2 linked regions of the Neodiprion lecontei genome follow. The protein of the gene in region 1 binds, or shares a complex with, the protein of each later gene. Links are inferred from orthologs where the notes say so. Each region holds a gene or a part of one and is shown on either strand. Other genes may lie near its edges.

Region 1 (5,252 bases):
ATAAAATAGGTTCATCCTTCTACATATCATCAACGTGCTTCTCGCAAAAAGAAAAGTGTTTCAGAATTTTTCGGATATTTTCAAAACTTGAGATATCGAATTTTTTCAAGTCATAATTTTAAAAGTGCTCAACAAAGCAAACAAAAAGTCTGCATAAGCACTTTCTTGAAATGATTGGAACTAAAAATAAAGTATTTCAACATTTTTTCAAAATATTTGCCGCTCAAAGTTGACTACGTAAAAAACTTTGAAAAAATAAATTGAGCGTCTTAGAAATGCTAATATCGCCTGTAAAAGATTTGATATATTCATGTAAATATAAACAATACACGAACATGTATTTGATTGATATTTATTTTTCCGTTATGTAATTTCGGCGTATATATTTCTTGTACGGGATTTTCTCAACTTTTCAATCTCACGATGACGACTGTATGTTATCAACGTTTTGCACGTGATAGTTGTTTGTTTTCAAGAACTTCTCTTACGTGCGTTGTTAGTTGCTTGGTTGATAATACGTGAAACTACTATACCTCCAAACCCGGTCAAACTCAGCAAACTGTTACGAAAAATAACTCGTTATCAGTCTTTACATATCCTCAGTCAACGTTCCCTATGAAACATCTAAAAATGATCAATAAACATCAGTACATACATATAAATGAGAAGCAGCTTTTGGTTATATGCGCTAGGGCTAGATTAACGTCTGGGACTACTGCCTAACTACAATTGTTTCAATTTTCACGAATCAACGATCCACTATCAGATGTCGAAACTTCACTATCCAACACCACCAAACGATCAACAAACGATTGCCAGCATGGGTAATTGCATTTCAATGCAATTTACAGTTAACGAGGAGTTGTCGTAAGTTAGACGTTCTGGGATTGAACAAACTCCCGGAATTGGTGCCTAACTAGAGTCGTCTTATTTATTTTATTTTTTTTGACTGGCTTAGGGGAGGGCTATGTTTTTCAATTTTTTCAGGTAATTGGAGGACTATTGAATGTTGGAGAAACGCTAATAAACACCAACATACGACGAACAAACGATTCTGCACAAGCAAAATTCAAATAAATCCCAAAATACAACTGTGAGGGGTTAATGTCACTGAACTCCCTAGCCGGTGTTGTTCTAATAATAACAACGTAATTATTAACTATGGGTATGTTTCGATATACACTGCGAGCACTGTAAGGTGTGTCGTCAATTTAGTATACTGCGAAGCCGTTCCTGTATAGTTAGCTATACTGGTTACTGCTTAAAACGTGCTTAAAACGGAACGCAGTACAGTATACTGTGATCAACATTTTTTGGCGTTACTTTCATTTCATACATAATATTTGTTTCACATTGTAATAAACACAATTTATTCAAATTTTCCATTTTTGTTTTTAACGGCCGATATTTTTAAATGACAATATTCAATAATAATAATTATCAATAGTGGAAGCTGTTAAATTTCTGAACGCTGTTGATCACGTGATCAAAGCACTGAGAGCACCTTACCTCGAAAGCACCAGTGTTCACAGTAGAAAAATGGCAACGATTTATGACGTCATATATTTCCCTAGGATTTCCTAGAATTTCTCCCCAGTAAGAGCACTGAACAGTGCTCGCAGTGTATATCGGAACATACCACTGATATGAACATACCCTATCAAGGCCGTGTTCGTAAATTGACTGACGGTACTGAAAATTCCCTAGGACAGAGTCGGAGCTATTTACGAACTTGGAAGCGCAAAAGAGATGAAAGATTGCTGACAGTACTGTCAGTCAATTTTCGAACACGGCCCAAACCTCGGGTACTCACTACAGAGAGAAACCTATCAAACACAAACGATCACAGATTACTTTTCGAGGTACTGGTCTAGACTATTTTGTATTACCAGGTTTTAGTGGGGGCGAAACTGGTCATCGGTACGACGACGTCGGCAATCTGAACGATTATAAAAACATTGAAGTTACTGACAAATGCGTAATTGGTTACGTGTTGTTGCACAACAATGATAGAATATTTGTTCATATAATTATACGAAGTCATAAAAAATATACTTGACACAGTTTAGACTTATTATTTACATAAAGTGGTTGAAACAACAGTCACTATGGGATGTTGCCCAAGCCTTTGCAAAGAAGACAATGGGCCGCAGGTATGTCAGATGTAAAGTACTTGGACTAATCCTTGCCTTTTATTTTGAGTTTATTTCTTCTCCTTTGCTCATCATTCTCACGTCTACTACTTTAGAATTGATACGTGAGTTTCAGTAAAGACACTTATCAAACTAGTCTCGATCATCATCAATCGTAAAGGTACAAATTTTGTGTAGGCATTTCGTCGCCACGATTGTATTTTTATTTATACGCTGTATTTTTCCATTGACATAAACGACTTTGACAGCTCTGAAATGTTAATTTGATGCCACTTCTCGTTCGGCGAAAAAATAACCATTTAACATTCCATTTTTGCATATCTACAATGACGCACATCATCTAGGAGATGAAAAATATAAAAATTATAGTAACAAGTAAAGCCACGGACACACGAACGATTTCCAAGTGCGATGTCATCATTATTATTAACTACAATATCTGGCGAGTTTACCATTATTTCTGCCCCCCTGTGGTATTTTTATTTACCTTATTTCGCGATAACCTACCCAGATAACTTTGATCTACTGATACTGCTGTAATAATTATCATTTATTGAAACTCATTAATTGACTTGAAATGCTTTCACCAACATTTCTCTCACAACAGTAGATTAAGACTGAGTAGACTAATTACTTCTAAGTTCCTAACCTGTATCTTAATTCGACTGACTTGTATTTTCAGGGTGACGCAGCTAACGAGAGAACACGTTTGCTGGTAAATCCGGTCAGCAATACACCAAATATCCCAACAGCTCACAGGTGATTGATCAGACTTTAAAGCATGCGTAAAAAGTATTTGTGTTCCATTCTTTTTATTATAGTGACTGTCACTTATATAATATCAAATGCTTTTTTGCTTCTTATTTTATTACTTTCCAGTGACGATTATGTTAATCCATATGCGAACCCTGTCCCAAAGAAGACTGATGAACAAAGCGCACTGAACCGAATCTTGCAGGAAACTGCCGCGTGAGTATTTTTTATTTATTTTTTTTTTGAATTTGTATCCTATTTATTTTGCTGTTTACGAAACTTGAGCTATACCTTCTTAGTTCTCTGCATCGAATGCATGCTGCTGCTGCACGTTGGCTTAGTACCAAGTTTATATTTAAATTGTCTCTAGGACAAGCTTACTATACCTTTGAGTAATGCTTTAGAATTTCACGATTTCTGTTTTTCTTTGTGCATTTCAAGTTCTGTTTTATACTAACATAGCATGGTAGCCTAGCTTCTACAGATTGAGCCTCGGAATTGGCTTCTCCATCAACTTTTCAACTCGAGGTTTAATAATTTTCTAAATTATACCTATTTTGTAAATACTTTGCTGACCGTTAATTTAATTCTCTGTAACTTGTTTGAAGCAGTAAAAATAACAGACAAATGTTATAAGAATCATTTGACAAAGTTACATTCAATAAAAAATTCGGCTCGATTTTGCCACCTCTAATTTTCATCTCCTTTATCAGCAATGTGATCGATGTCGGTGCTCTCGACTCGCACAATTTGGAACAGCACGAATACATGGATAGGTCAAAAGCATATGCCAAAAGAATAGAAGTTATCGGTGTTCAAATACCTGACCATCCGCCATGTCTATTAAAAGATATACCAGCGCCCGAAAGAGTATTGGCTGGGGAAGGGCTGCCCCAACAGGATCGAGAAATGGTAAATAATAACTTCCACTAATATGAAATAGAAATGATGAAGTAGTGAAATTTCTATGATTTCATTGCTTATCTAAATATTTTCACAGGTTACAGATATGATGAACAGTGCGGTAACCGCGTTGAGCGAGATACAGGTGGAACATAAAGAAGATTTAGTCGTACCCTTCCTGTCGTGACTGCATTTCAATCAGATGGAAGCTTGAGCCTAAAATTTTAATATGTCTAATGACATTTATAACAGCTGTAAGAAGAAAATCAAATTTTCTACTCGTTAAGACATTTAATTCTTGTTACAGATCAAAGGTATAGATACTCTACTTGTTCGCCACAAAATCTTTATTGCAATTCAATTTTGAGCTTTATACTTAGCAGCAATGGAAACATATATTAATTTAGGTCATGCTATTCTATGCTTGTCAGAAACTCTCGATACTAGATATATCCCCCAATTTTTATTATTAACTGGTTCTAACTTTTTTTTTTTCATTTTTTTTAGTGTATCACCGTTGCATTGCTAAATATTGTTTATCGTGTAATCACTCGCGAATCGATTCTATGAAAACCGTAGTTTTAAATGATTGTAAATAACGGTTTTCTCTCGTAACGTTTTAAAGTATTACTCGGACGTGTTAATAAACCAGCGTTATGAAATTCTTTTGAACTATGTTTAAAAATCCCACTTTTTGTGGATGACAAGGTTGCATATTATGCTTATCATATTGTACAAATCGGCTGACGGGAACAGTGAGACGCTAGCGCAGGCTTGATTGGACAATGTATTTTGTTGAATGACAAATACAAAATGTTGAATACCCATGGCGTTAAAAAAAGGCTTTTCATGTGAATATGATGTAATAAAAAATATGTTTCATTTGTAATACAAATGGTATCTTTGTTCATTAACAATAGTTCGAGGTTTTAGGGTAGCGTCAAACTACCTATAGATATAAAGAATTCGCTTGCAGTTGCGTTAACATAAATAAATAAATAAATAAATAAATAAATATGAGAAGTTATCAGAAGAGGATAACAAGACGACTACTCACTAGGGTGGTTGAAAAAAATAAAATTTTATTCGCTTTTACCCCCTTCTAATGTTGGTGTTTGATAGAAAAAAAGATCTCGAAAGATTAGCTCTTGAGCTCAGTCTAACAGGTCACTACTTTAATTTTAATTTCCCTTTCATTCAACATGAGAAAATTTCACTTTTCGTTAAAAATTAAAATATTCGTAAACTATTCAATATTTTTGAAATCCATGCATAGATAGAATCTTGAAGGTGATTCTCTTTGCGGTAAAAATTGGTAGTTTTCAGATGACTGTAATGTGAATTCTAATGATGATGACTATGATATGTTATAGCGGTTTGAAAAGCTCGTAAAATCAGCTGCAACGATCTATACATGAATTTAAAAAATATCGAATAGTTTAC
Region 2 (3,375 bases), on another chromosome or scaffold:
CCCAGTATATTCCTGATAGTGCCGTTGGGGCTCTTCCACATCTGTTTCAACTTGAACTCCTTGACTCGATTTTCGTCCGGAGTTATCGTCGCACACTTTATGCCCACGTTATATTTCTTTACAGCCTCCGCGCAGTCCACCGTCACCTGGTCATTAGTTGCGTCCCGGTTCTCCATACCCAGATCATAAATGTGCAACTCAATATCCAGGAACGGGAGTATCAATTTGTTCTTGATAGAGTCCCAGATGATACGAGTCATCTCATCTCCAAGAATGTCAACGACGGGTCCAGCCTGTTGGAAAAATGCTGTTTCTTTAAGTATTTTCATAAGAAACTGCTGAACATCTTATTTACAACAATTTCATTGTACAATCTAATCATGAACGGAAATTCCGAGAAATAATCAAACTATCAATCAATTGATTATTACGGCTTATATCGCGTGAGATAATGATCGCTGTGATATCCACATTGTAGTAGGAACCTTATCATTCGAAACTTATTAGCTTTCACTCGACCTCGAGCTTGTTTTCTATTTAAGTGAAACCATCGACATTCCACGGCAAACGATGGGTCGACTAAATGTGGGGGGGAGGAGAGGGGATCGACCTCTGCACTGTGCACCATAATGTGCACTATCATCCAAGGTGGTTTGGAACGGGGTTCTAATCATGCAATAAATACGGAATACTTCGGAACACGAACGCTGCGAACAATAAAGTTCCCCGAAAGGTGAATCGCAAGTGTCTCGTGATTTGAAGTGCCTTCTCTCAGTCGCGGCATTAGTATAGAAACTGTTTAAAACGGATACGCGACGATCGCGACCGGCCGTATGAGACTCGAATGTTTTTTAAACTGCAGGAAGATGAATCGGCTAACAGGGCGACGCCTCGGGGGAGCGTGATGGATCAGGGTGAGATATGTACATTCATAGATACCTTGATCTTAGCCATAGCGATTGACGTGGAGCTGAAGTTTTTCGATGTCTGTGTCGTCCACGTAAGGTTTCGTCTGCGCGATGCGTCGAATGAGGAGTTTCGGTCGAGCAGAGCGACGGACGACGTACTGCAGCGAAGTAATCGAGCCGCACTGTCCACGGCGGCACTCGGTCCTAACAGGCGAGTCAAGGAACGGAACATGGCGCCTGTTATTGTTATTATTACCGGATTATACGACTAGGGGATAGGATGAGTACGTGTACGGAACGGGTTGCGTACCGCGTATCGAACGATCCTAGAGTTGCACCGTCACTGGTCCCGTCGACCGGGTTCCCGAGATGTGTTATCTCTCGCGGAAAGTTGTGTACCCCAGGGACCTTTGGACGCGCTCCCCGGGTCCGAAGAGTACAATAAACCAACGGTTTATTGTCATTGACGGGTCAATTGATGCCACCCCTACATAAAATTGATAGCGAATTCTAGACGTTAACAGTATTGCTGACACGCGCCATTCTTTTAACGGGAGTTGGTTACGCAATCGATTGCCGCCTAGAGCGGCCAGCCGTCGAGTCAATCGGCCGAAGCCCGAGAGGCAATGTAACAGCGGTGGCATCCGCCATAAAATATCGGACTAATAACAGCTGCCCTCCAGGCTATCTACATAATTACGGTTCGCAATATTTTTTCATTTTGCCCCGAAATATCCGAAATATGTACTGCACATGCATTAAAGGTACTGTGTGGTGTTATTTAAAAGGCGGGCTGAATTAGCAATTTCTGTGAGTGTCATGCGTGATAATAACGTCTTGTTAATGCCTCAGAATAAATGAGATATTTATTTTCAAAGTCAAAACAAGGATGAAACTACGACATTTGCTACACTGATATGTAATGATATTTATGTCTCATTTGTAAACCACTGACCTCTACTTGTATGCTAGAGATCAGTGATGTAAACTCAGTGGTTTACTACAGAAAATCATACCGCGAACTTCACAGAGTTCGGCCATTTTCAGCACTCATTAGCTAGAGGAGCTAGAGAGTAAATTTGAGACCAAACTACAGGAGAGTGGATTACAGCGCCACGGTGAACAAACGATAAATGATATCTCCAGATTTCCAAGTTTTGTCAGTTGGCTACATTGAAGTCTAAGCAGGCAGAAAACAAGAGCAGAAAAATACATCGCGCTGCATCGCGCTGGCTACCGCGTTGTATTTTAGACTATCGCCACACGTCAAACCACAGGTTTTGTGTGTTGACAGGTGACACTTCCTCGCAAGGACAATTTTGATACTCGGCTCCCCAGTGCTTACGTTAAATTTTACCATTCTGCAATATACAAACATCCGCTAGGTTATTTGAAGATGTTGTCGATGGAGAGAATACCTGAGCAAATCGGTTATTTGGTATTAAAAGAGGACGGGGCGGTACTCACGGTATGACAACGCGATACAAGTCGAGAGCTTCATCATTGTTTACTTTTGTTTTTTTTTTTTCACTGCTGTCATTTCAGTCGGGTGGAGAGCTGGAAAACGACGAGAGAATTGCAAACATTATCATGAGCCTGATCACTCTGACCGACACGATCGATCCCAAGGCGTTTGCGTCCGATGAAACATTCAACAAAATATCCATAACCTACGAAGATCACTGCTACGTCATATGCCTGTCAAACAAGAAGGTTCACATTGTTAAGAAGAAGATAACCGCGTTGACCTCATCTCAAGAACAGCAGCAGCAGCACCTGCCAGTGATTGCTTGATGAGTCAAATATTGCTTATCGAAATAATTACAAGGAACATATGTTAAGTTGAAATATAAAAATGAGACATGTAATAAAGCAAAGATCGCAAATGTGAACGGTAGCAAGTTTCCTAGCTTTTTTGCTAGTGGTTCTGTTCATTGCACCTAATCGACTAATTATAGATGTAGTTGGACACCGAGGGTGATTCTTCGGTTTTTAGGCAGTCTGCGCCATCTATGAGCTTAGCAAAACGTCTATGACTGAACAAAGATGCTGCAATCTGCGCGAATATTTTTTAATTATCACGAATATGCATATGTACGCATGCATAAATGTGTGTAGTTATAATCGGTAATAATACGCGTGGGAAATATAACCCGTTAAACAATGATCGGTAGTATTGTTTAGATGTAAACAAATGGCCACCATCAAGGTAACCGAACAAAAGGTGATTTTATGTGGCGAATACGGGGTCGGGAAAAGTTCGATATTTAGGCGATTCGCGAACAATACCTTCGTCTCAAACAATGATAGAAAATCGACCTTGGGACTGGACAATATCAACAAACAGTACACCATTGACGAAAAAACGATTCGCGTAAGTAGCACATTTGCCTGTTACGTTCAGTTATTTTCACGCGTGCAAGTGCAGCTTTAAATTTATTGTGTCGGACAAGTATATTCATTTACA

Evidence for each region.
Region 2: ragulator complex protein LAMTOR1 (region 1) and ragulator complex protein LAMTOR4 homolog share a complex: the UniProt entries of both Homo sapiens proteins name them as parts of the ragulator complex. The link is inferred for Neodiprion lecontei from reciprocal best matches to the Homo sapiens genes LAMTOR1 and LAMTOR4.

Annotation. Positions count from the first base shown.
Region 1 is NC_060263.1:15,853,640-15,858,891, forward strand, and holds ragulator complex protein LAMTOR1, read left to right. Parts: upstream 1-1,927; 5' UTR 1,928-2,108; coding exon of another isoform or gene 2,109-2,113; coding exon 2,114-2,164; intron 2,165-2,835; coding exon 2,836-2,912; intron 2,913-3,032; coding exon 3,033-3,122; intron 3,123-3,619; coding exon 3,620-3,818; intron 3,819-3,906; coding exon 3,907-3,996; 3' UTR 3,997-4,698; downstream 4,699-5,252. UniProt on the Homo sapiens protein: Key component of the Ragulator complex, a multiprotein complex involved in amino acid sensing and activation of mTORC1, a signaling complex promoting cell growth in response to growth factors, energy levels, and amino acids.
Region 2 is NC_060264.1:23,151,482-23,154,856, reverse strand, and holds ragulator complex protein LAMTOR4 homolog, read left to right. Parts: upstream 1-2,075; 5' UTR 2,076-2,304; coding exon 2,305-2,376; intron 2,377-2,453; coding exon 2,454-2,702; 3' UTR 2,703-2,800; downstream 2,801-3,375. Other genes in the region: isocitrate dehydrogenase [NADP] cytoplasmic, read right to left, coding at 1-293, 940-1,140; GTP-binding protein YPT6, read left to right, coding at 3,103-3,282. UniProt on the Homo sapiens protein: As part of the Ragulator complex it is involved in amino acid sensing and activation of mTORC1, a signaling complex promoting cell growth in response to growth factors, energy levels, and amino acids.